Bombyx mori: one gene and its partners. Each later gene encodes a partner of the first gene's protein in a complex. Links are inferred from orthologs where the notes say so. Each region holds a gene or a part of one and is shown on either strand. Other genes may lie near its edges.

Region 1 (2,828 bases):
CATAGTAAGTGGTGTAATCTTAAACATGACAACAAAAGTTATTAATTTTTTTTATTTACCACACATTCTTCCATTTATAATTGCTACATTCATATCATACCACTTGGTATGTGAGTGGTATTTTGGTGGCTTTTCCGTTGTGTTGCTACTTATTCAATTTGTCCCCGATAAGACAGTAGTGCTTAACTGTACCCTCTATACTTGCATACTCCTATTAATGTTACACATTTATTTTGAAAAAGAATCATATAAATTTAAAAATAAAAGTAACACTGATATTTAGTAGCTTTCGTTTGCTTCGTGATTTTGTCAAACATTTAAATTTAAAGGTTCAAAATTAAAATGACCATAAAAATTCTGACTTAAATCTTTTATGGACCACAATTTGAAATCATTATGAACATATAAACTTGTAGGAGACAGGTATTATTTACTTTCTTTCAATTGTCACTACTTTCCAAAATATTAAAAACAAAAGCAAAAACTTTTATCAATTTCATTTACTATGAACAAAATGCATTCTGACATTTCTCAGTATGAAATGGGAGATTTCATAATAGCAATAAAGTTGAAATTTCCATTTTTAAACGCAAATAAAAAAAAATCCAATATATATTTATATTTTTGAACTTGTGTAAAAATAAAACAATCATAGATTATTCTCAATTCTTGTACTGTGTAATGTCAAAACTGGGTTTTACAAGCACTGTGTTATACGAGGGATGCCCATAATAATATATTATTATAATTTTACCTTCTGACATGAACTTTCATAATGGTCTACTCATTAAATACATGACAGTCAGCAAAATTTCAGAAACCCCTATTACCTCAATAAAATAGTGTAGCATTCTCCATTTCTGAATAATCAAAATTAAATATTGTTACTATTTTAAGTTTTGATTTTACTTTTCCATTACAAAGAAAATAAATTACTTTTTGTTAATCCTTCAGTTTCTTTCTGGGACAGAGGTACTAACATTAAGCCTGGAACTGGTGGTTGCATTTCCAGATCTCTCAATGTATTGACTTTGATTTTCAGGTCACTCCTCAATTTGTTTATGTCAATATTTAATTGTTTTTGATCGGCTTCCAGCAGAGTTTTAGTATCTTCAAACTTATGCTTTACGAGTATTGATCCCACCGTGAGCCAATATTTCTTCTGACTTGATTTAGTAAGATCTCTTAACGCTTCTCGATTTTTATTTCTTCGTTTATCTAGCATTATAATTTCATTTTTATCAACAAGAATATCAGATGCAAGTGTTTCTATTTGTTTTAAATACCTCAATAGTTTTTCTTGATTATTTACCATGTTTAGTGCATGTTTAATAACTTTTGTTCGTATTTTTAATTTTTAAACGAAGCCAGCTGATGTCACTTTTTTTTTTTAAGGGATTTTATGACCTGGTAACTGAGACCTTTAAGTCATGTCTTATTTTAATTTATATTCATATTTTTATGAAAAATGATATTATGGAGTGAAATGAGATGAAGACGACTAATTTAAGACATTAATCAACTGGGATGAAATTAAATGAAATGAAATGGGATGAAATATAATCTCAGTAAAATGGTGGTCATTCACTAAGATTTTTTCAGTGGACTTTTTGGAGGATCTCAAGAAGTTACGTCCATTGGCTTTGTTTCATTTTCCCACATTTGTGCACTTTCACAGATATTAAACAGTTAATAAACCACCATTATTACACATTTAAACCCGAAGAAACACTAAATAGAAAAAATAAAACAAATCACACAACTTCACTCCTGAAAAAATTTGGGACGGAACTTGAGAAGAGGGCCAATAAAAAATTTCATATCCTTTTTAATTAATTTAATTTGATATTCTGTAGATATTGTAGCATATTTTAGTTTATAACTGTATATATGTTTAGTTTATAATTGTATATTTTAGTACTTTAGTGTAGATAGTATGGAGTTGGAGGCGGGAACGGATCCCCCGGATCCGAATATTACTGAGGAGACAACTGATACGACTAACTCAAGGTTTAGCCAACCAATATTTTTCTGTGATGAGTTCGACCTTTCCAATGTATCTGAATTTGTCAACGTTAAATCGAAGAAATCCCAAAAAAAGAAACAACTTGTTAATTCTTTTAAACCAAAGATCTCGGACAAACAACTTTCGTTGCGCCCGCTGCAGCAGGCTTTGGCGGGAAATCTTGCAAATAACGTAAATAAGCTTATAGTGCCTCCTCGCCAAATTGTACAGACCTCACCAGAGCCTACTTCAGCGAGTCCTTCTATGACACCATCTGAGACCCCAATGGCTGACTCTGTTTACAGAAAAAAATACACTGAACAGGATCCCGGCCCATATATGGTCCATGTTACTTTAATCTCAGATTCTAATAGTACTACATCACTGCACCCACTTAAATTTGGAAATTTTCTAAAGAAAAGCAATCTTGGTAATATATTACAGGATGGAATTAAACGAGTAGGTCGTAATCGCCTGGCAATAACTTTTAAAACACATAGTGATGCCAATATTTTCATAGCCAACATGTCTATGAATCCATTGTATAATGTAGTGATTCCTACATATAATATATGTAAAATGGGTTTGATAAAGGGTATCCCTCAGGAGTGGACTCATGAGGACATTGTAGACAATCTGCAAATCCCAGAAGGCTATGGACAAATTATCAAATCCCGTAGATTAAACAGGAAGTCTGTCAACTCAGATGGAACTTCATGGATTCCTACTCAAACTGTGGTCTTGACTTTTGACGGACAGTCTCTTCCCTCTAGAGTGTATTCCTTTTTTTCAAGTATTCCAGTTGAACAGTATATTTATCCAA
Region 2 (3,023 bases), on another chromosome or scaffold:
TGATCTACAAGTACTGTTCCAGCTCCTTCAAGAAGTCAGGCATCTTCAGGTTGATCAGGTAAACACAAGAAGCTCACCATAAGTAGCTCTCTGCATTCAAAAAGGCTAGTCGCAGAGAACTATGGATGATATCCTAATTCAGTAATGAACAGTGACTCAAGAAATGTAGACTGCATAAAAAGAAAAGGTATTTTTTTTAGAAAGTTACAAACTTTATTAATACTAAAGTTACAGTTTCTTGGGATTCATTAGGAACAATATAATTCTTAAATTGGGTACAAAAGCTTATAAATGTGTATTTTTTTTATAGTGACACATTGTAACTTCAATGCCTTTAGCTTTATGTAGCTTAATGCAGGAGAATGAGTATCTTGAACGTGATTAAGTTGCACTATGTTGAGATTCAAGACACAATTTTTTTTATGCCTGTATTCTTTATGAGCAGTATTAATTATTGAATAAATCATTGGAAACATAATTAGAATAAGTTTATTAAATTACATTTGTGCACTTTCTCCACTGCCAGCTTAAATTATGCCGACCATTTGTATACAAATGCAATACATAACATTTGTAATAGGTATTTAAAAACAAAAAATTACCCAATTTTTTTTAGATTGTCATATGGTTTTAGGTTAATATACAAAACTACTGGTAATAGAAGCGAACAATTATTCTAAGATGAATCTGGTTTCAAAACTAATGGTACTCATTATACCGTCAATTACCTTGCAAACTTTCAGCTTATACACACAAAAATAAATATGTACAAGTAACAAAATATTTTAGTTTTGAAAATAAATAATAAGTAAATAATAGGCAGCAGTTTGGCTGTGCTCCTGGCATATCTGATGTCTATGAGTGATGGTGACATCAGGAGGGCCACAAACATCTGCCTGCAATGGCAGTAAAATAAAAACTTACTTTCAGTAAGATTTTTTATTTTTATATTGAGTTAACAAAAGGAAGAGGTAAGTTTAGTGTAATGCCACACAGCAGTTTTTTCATGATTATTGCATAGCTAAACATACATTAAATTATTAATGTGTAATATTTTTATTTGTAATAGTAGTTCTCTAAACATACAAGTGAGTCATAATAGAAGAATAGAAATATTTTACTTTTAATTCACACATTTTTCAAGCTTTTAGTTTTAGTTTGCCAAGATCATTTCTAAGTTTATTTAAGTTTTCTTGCAGTGCTTCTTGTTTGTTTTCTAAAGCACATATGTGATCATCTGTTCTTTTGATTTCTTTGCTAATGTACTCCATACGTTTGGAGACGTTTTGTCTGGCTTCTTCCAAATCTTGCTTCACCAATACGGGTCCGATGAGTTTGTATACCTCTGAATCTTTTCTTAAGAGTTTTAGTTCCTCTTTGACTGCTTTATTTTCATTTAACTGGCTGTCTAATTGTTGTTTCTGAGTGACCGCTTTCTTTATGTCTTTTTGAACACCTTGAAATAATTCGAGCTGTTTTTGAAACTTTTTTTGTATTTCTTCCGCCATTGTGTTTCAGTCAAGGTATGATTTGATAGAAAATAAACAGTTTAATACAGAAATCTTTTCCGTTTTTTTTCACCTGCTCAAAAATTTTAGTTGAGGTTATGTCTCAAATATATTAAGTGTATAATCTATGGGTTATGTGTGTATTCTCTATGGTTTTGTCATTTGTCTGACATTGATTTTGAAATTAACCATAGATAATACACAAAAAATTTCAAGTGTCACTACGTACCGGTAAAATGGGGCGATTAGGGACAAATTCCAACTTTATGACCAATTTTAAGGTAGATGTTGATGTATATAATGCTATATCAGGATCGAAATGATTGAGTCTTGGGGGCATCTTTGTTGTCCAATTTAAAACTATGCAACTAGCATTCCAGTTTAAGCAAAAAAAGCAAAAATAGGTGTAATCCCTATTTACCCGAAAATTGCGGTTAATTGGGACGAAATGAGAAATTTGCTAGGGCTGCCACTACTTGGTTTTAATTTATTTATTTATTTAGTTGCACCAACAAAGTGATCATCAACTTGATTACATTTATTTACTTATGATTAATTTATATTTACTTGAGAAATGATCCGCGACAGATTTGTCCTGTAAGTTGTGATACAATTAAAAAAAATTTATTTCATCACTTAAAATTAGTTCAGCGTAATCGGACAACTCCGAATGAACATTGACGGAGACCATGCTACCGTGGACATTATTGTAGTCCCAAAGGAGAGTAAGCTTTCTTATAAACGGTTTATATTTTTTCGTTCTTGGTAAGTACTTAGGGGCTGATATTTTTATCTGGGTTAAGAGATTAGGTGTGTTGGTTATTCCATGGATTAATCAGATGAATACCCCCACTCTGAACAAATATTAAATATTTTACTATGTATTACTTAGACATTTTTGTCCACCTTGACATTTCATTGTTCTTGTTAGATGTCTGTGCAAAATCGACTTACTTATATTAAATTGCTTAGCTATTTCAACTAAAGACTTATTCCCAATTTCAAAGGCTTCTATTGCTGTTTTTAATATTAAGGGATCATATCTCTTTTAAGGCTTTGCACTCTTTAATACGTACACGCGAGGCATTATCTAAAAATAGAAAACAGTACGTAACTGATAATATAAGTATTTACCAAACAATAAAATAACACATTGATAATTTTGAATAAAAGTTCTAGACAAAAACATCATGAATAAACAAGATTTTTACCAACAAATTTAAAAAATATTGTTATAACTACATAGACAACCCTACAAACCTGTACCTATTTATACTCAGCTCGTTTCCATTTCACGTATTCTCATCCCAATTGACCCCTTTTTCGTTGTTATTTGTACCTAAGACGTCCCCAATATCCCCAAAAACAACAGATTTTTACATGTATTTTTATTTTATCAAATACATTAAAACCAATAACAACTGAGACTTACCTTTAATATATATGATGGCTCAAACACTAAATAACGTGTATAAATCACAGTCGTCTTCTATTAATATCAAATAAATAAAAGAG
Region 3 (4,405 bases), on another chromosome or scaffold:
TTGCTTAGATGTGTGGACGAGCTCACAGCCCACCTGGTGTTAAGTGGTTACTGGAGCCCATAGACATCTACAACGTAAATGCGCCACACACCTTGAGATATAGTTCTAAGGTCTCAGTATTAGTCACAACGGCTGCCCCACCCTTCAAACCGAAACGCATTACTGCTTCACGGCAGAAATAGGCGGGGCGGTGGTACCTACCCGTGCGGACTCACAAGAGGTCCTACCACCAGTAATTACGCAAATTATAATTTTGCGGGTTTGATTTTTATAGCACGATGTTATTCCTTCACCGTGGAAGTCAATCGTGAACATTTGTTGAGTACGTATTTCATTAGAAAAATTGGTACCCGCCTGCGAGATTCGAACACCGGTGCATCGCTCGATACGAATGCACCGGACGTCTTATCCTTTAGGCCACGACGACTTTTAAATTAACTGATGTAACTATAGATTGTGCTTTTAATATATTAAGGTCCATGGATTCTGATGAATAGAGATACAGCCCATCTATTGCTGAGATAACAGACACTGCAATGTGAAGAATTCTGCCAAATACATAGAGTAGATAAACTTTCAAAGAAATTGGAACAACAGCTGTACTATAGTATACACCAGAACATGTGATTTAATGGTGGTAAAAATAGATAAGGCAGGGGTAGGAAAATTCAAATTTAACAATGCTCTGCATTGCATGCAATCTTCATATTTATTTCTCAAAGACATTCCTTGCTGGTCAGTAAAACATTAGGTTACCTGAGCAAATCCTTTAGTTGGATTTTGAGTCCTCACATCAAAAACATGAAACTTCCCTTCAAGTGTGGTTGCCACTAATTTATTCATTGGAATATCTTTACGATCGAATTCTAAGGAACATACCTAAACAAACAAAAATTCTTCAATATTTATCTATTAATTTTGACTTAGATATAATTTAATATATATATATATATATATTTTTTTTTTTATTGCTTACGTGGGTGGATGAGCTCACAGGCCACCTGGTGTTAAGTGGTTACTGGAGCCCATAGACATTTATAATGCAAATGCGCCACCCACCTTGAGATATAAGTTCTAAGGTCTCTGTATAGTTACAACGGCTGCCCCACCCTTCAAGCCGAAACGCATTACTGCTTCACGTCAGAAATAGGCGGGGTAGTGGTACCTACCTGTGCGGACTCACATGAGGTCCTACCACCAGTTATATAAATATATATCTCTATTGCAAAACAACCTATCAAGCTAATTTAGGATATATCATAAACTACAAAGAATTAAAACACACACAGATAATAACAAGTCATTGTTCATCAGAGTACCAGTTGAGATAATGATAAAAATTTCGAGATTAACTGAATTTATTTACTTCAATTGTGTTGATGTTTTCTTAAATAATTACTCACATTAAAATTAAAATGAACTCCCTCCCCCACTACTGTGACTTTTTGAAAAATATAACACATCTTTCTTAGGACAAGATTAAAGTGAATAACTACTGCTACTATACAACTAGTAATGACCCTGTATTTACTGATGTTAACAGGTTTCAGTAACAACTTTTTATCATGCATGTTGTATAATATGCCTATTGCGAGTTGTGACATAAAAATCTTAAATTTAGTCTTGAAATTACATACTTACTCCATTCTTCAAATTACATTCCCACCTAAGTGACATTGTTCTCAAATCAAACATTTTAAGATCTCCATTGTCATAACCAGCAACTACAATCCTTTCAGAATCATTAAATGAGTTTCCGAAGCCAACAGCCCAGCAATCCCTTCTAGTCTCACCTTGCATTGGTTGCATGTTTGCAACAGGTTTACCTCTTTGCCTTGGATCCCAAACCTTTACTGTTCCTATAATTTCAGTAATTATTATGTTATCACTACCATTTTTATTTTTCCTAAAGAGTTTTAAACCCAATGTCTGTTTCTCTGATTACTTATTCTAAATGACTTAACAAATTTTGATACTATTTTCAAAGATATAAATAGAAGTGTGAGAAAGGTTTGTGTATAAAATTTGTAAATATTTTGGACAAAATCAAAATCTGATGAGGATAAAAAAAAAACTATCCCAGTATGTCAACATGGCTAATGGTAGTCAAATCTTAGAAGGTATTGTAATATTGATTTAGAAAATCTACTCATCACCACACGAGTACCCTTTAATGTAACAGGATAATCCTTGGCATGAAACCTTACCATCTCTACTGCCAGTTACAATTTCAGGAGCTCCACAGTTGGTTGTGTTACCTCCCATCCCATCTATTGAGTTAATTATATCTGAATGTTCTTTTGTTATGTACACTTGGGAACCTTTTTCTAAGTCCCTATAGAAAATAAATTATTTATTAACATTCGATTTTTATGATTATCCGGAAAAAGTATGGATTTTATGATTTTGTTACAAACCATACTTCCAAAGTGCCTCTAAAGTCTCCAGTAGCAAATCGTCTCTCAATGTCGCTACTTGCTCCAAACGTTCCACATTTAAACGAGTTAGACCTCTCAATTTCTTTTATTTTCTTAATTTCTCCGGCGTTTATTTCAAATATTTCAATGGTACCCGAGCCTTTCGGTAAAGAACCAAGTACTATAAATTTAGCCGAACATGGTATCCACTTGCAATCAAATAGTGAATGGTTTAAGTTATTTTCAATATGGGTAATTATTTGGGGGGTATTCAATTCTTCCATGACTTAAAAATAGATATAAAAGAAATATTCAAAGGTTTATGCGAATCTTTAGCGAAAACAAACGTGACAGACAGCATTGGTTTTTGGTTGCTAGGCAACAGCATCATAGGCCACATAATATTGCTTTTTTTAAAAGATTTTATGACTTGGTAACTAAGACTTTTAGGTCATGTCTTATTTTAATTAGTATTCTTATTTTTATGAAAAATTATAAATATTATGGAGTGAATGAAGATGATTAGGTAATTTGAGACATTAATCAACTGGGATGAAATTAAATGAATTGAAATGAGATGATGTGGGATGAAATATCAGTAAAATGGTGGTGGTCATTCATTTACTGAGATTTTTTCAGCGGACTTGTTGGAGGATCCCGAGAAGTTACGTCCAGCGGCTTTGTTTCATTTTCCCAGATTTGTCCACTTTCACATATATTAAACTGTTAATAAACCACCGTTATTACACATTTAAACCTGAAGAAACACTAAATAGACAAAATAAAACAAATCACACAATTTCACTTCTTGCGTTCCCGCCAAAAAGTCCATATAATATTTTACGCAAGTCTCAAAAAATATTAAATTTTCAACCCAGCACACTTCACTCTGCTTAAGCCTCCCATGTTCCTATCATTTCCATTTCCTAGACTAGCGCTAATTTAGTTATTCTTTTTTATAAAGCCTTGATGGGGGACTAACTCACAGTCCACTTGGCGTTAAGTGGTAACGGCAGCCCGTAGATCTACAACGTAAATGCCGCCACCCACCTCGAGACATGAGTTGTAAGGAACAATACAGCAGCTGCCCCACCCTTCAAACCGAAACGCATTACTATTTCACGGCAAAAATAGGCAGGATGGTGGTACCTACCCGTTCGGACTCATAAGACGTACTACCACCAGTAATCTTCTAACATTTTTCAGCTTCTCCCCTACTCAAGATGGTGCTCCTTACTTCTTTCTACCCTTCATAAGTTTTAGAGACACTAAAAGGTTAATACTTGAATTATCATTTCAAATTTTAACCTGATTAAAACCTCTGAAAAATCTTTCTTCTTTTTTAAATCACTTTCCGTCCTTCAGTTCGATTTTTTGTTACAATAGACTTGGCATTATGGGCCCTTTTTGTCTTTGGAACAGACCATTCAATCAAATTCTCAACTTTGATTATCCCATGTGTCAAACGACAATTTTATAGCTTGGAAAATTGTGGCCAAACTTTATATTTCAATAACTTTCTAAAAATATGAGGAAATGAAAAGAAAATTGAAAAAAAAATTACGAGTCTAAAGAATGAATGAAGTTATTTATTTGAAAAAAGAATAAAATTTGTTAAATAAAAAATAAAAACTTCCTTGGGTGCTAGCAGTTGTTAGTGTCATTGAATCGGTTTTGAAATAAAGGGAATACAATGGGTGATAAAAAGTCGAGACAATCTGTAAGTGTTAGTGAAATGTAAATCCTATAGAAATCAAATGTATCTAGTAAATAATATCTTTTTGCTCCAGAAAGCGGACATTGCTAAGCAGTTCGACTTGCCTGAACGCCAATCCAAAATTACAACATTGCTGAATCAAGCTGGACAAGCGTACTGCATTTGTCGATCTTCGGATAGTTCGCGATTTATGATGTAAGTTTTTCCTAATATATTTGATTTTATACAATGCTGCAGTGTATTAGACAACACTACACTCACCATTGCGTTA

The links.
Region 2: p53 and DNA damage-regulated protein 1 (region 1) and prefoldin beta subunit share a complex: the UniProt entries of both Homo sapiens proteins name them as parts of the PAQosome complex. The link is inferred for Bombyx mori from reciprocal best matches to the Homo sapiens genes PDRG1 and PFDN6.
Region 3: p53 and DNA damage-regulated protein 1 (region 1) and dynein axonemal assembly factor 10 share a complex: the UniProt entries of both Homo sapiens proteins name them as parts of the PAQosome complex. The link is inferred for Bombyx mori from reciprocal best matches to the Homo sapiens genes PDRG1 and DNAAF10.

What each region holds. Positions count from the first base shown.
Region 1 is NC_085121.1:8,869,089-8,871,916, forward strand, and holds p53 and DNA damage-regulated protein 1, read right to left. Parts: upstream 1,401-2,828; 5' UTR 1,316-1,400; coding exon 917-1,315; 3' UTR 657-916; downstream 1-656. UniProt on the Homo sapiens protein: May play a role in chaperone-mediated protein folding.
Region 2 is NC_085112.1:4,987,629-4,990,651, reverse strand, and holds prefoldin beta subunit, read right to left. Parts: upstream 1,640-3,023; 5' UTR 1,509-1,639; coding exon 1,140-1,508; 3' UTR 651-1,139; downstream 1-650. UniProt on the Homo sapiens protein: Binds specifically to cytosolic chaperonin (c-CPN) and transfers target proteins to it. Binds to nascent polypeptide chain and promotes folding in an environment in which there are many competing pathways for nonnative proteins.
Region 3 is NC_085131.1:9,119,329-9,123,733, forward strand, and holds the start of dynein axonemal assembly factor 10, read right to left. Parts: upstream 2,804-4,405; 5' UTR 2,702-2,803; coding exon 2,418-2,701; intron 2,336-2,417; coding exon 2,208-2,335; intron 1,860-2,207; coding exon 1,642-1,859; intron 880-1,641; coding exon 757-879; intron 1-756. Other genes in the region: CXXC-type zinc finger protein 1, read left to right, coding at 4,111-4,137, 4,208-4,329. UniProt on the Homo sapiens protein: Key assembly factor specifically required for the stability of axonemal dynein heavy chains in cytoplasm.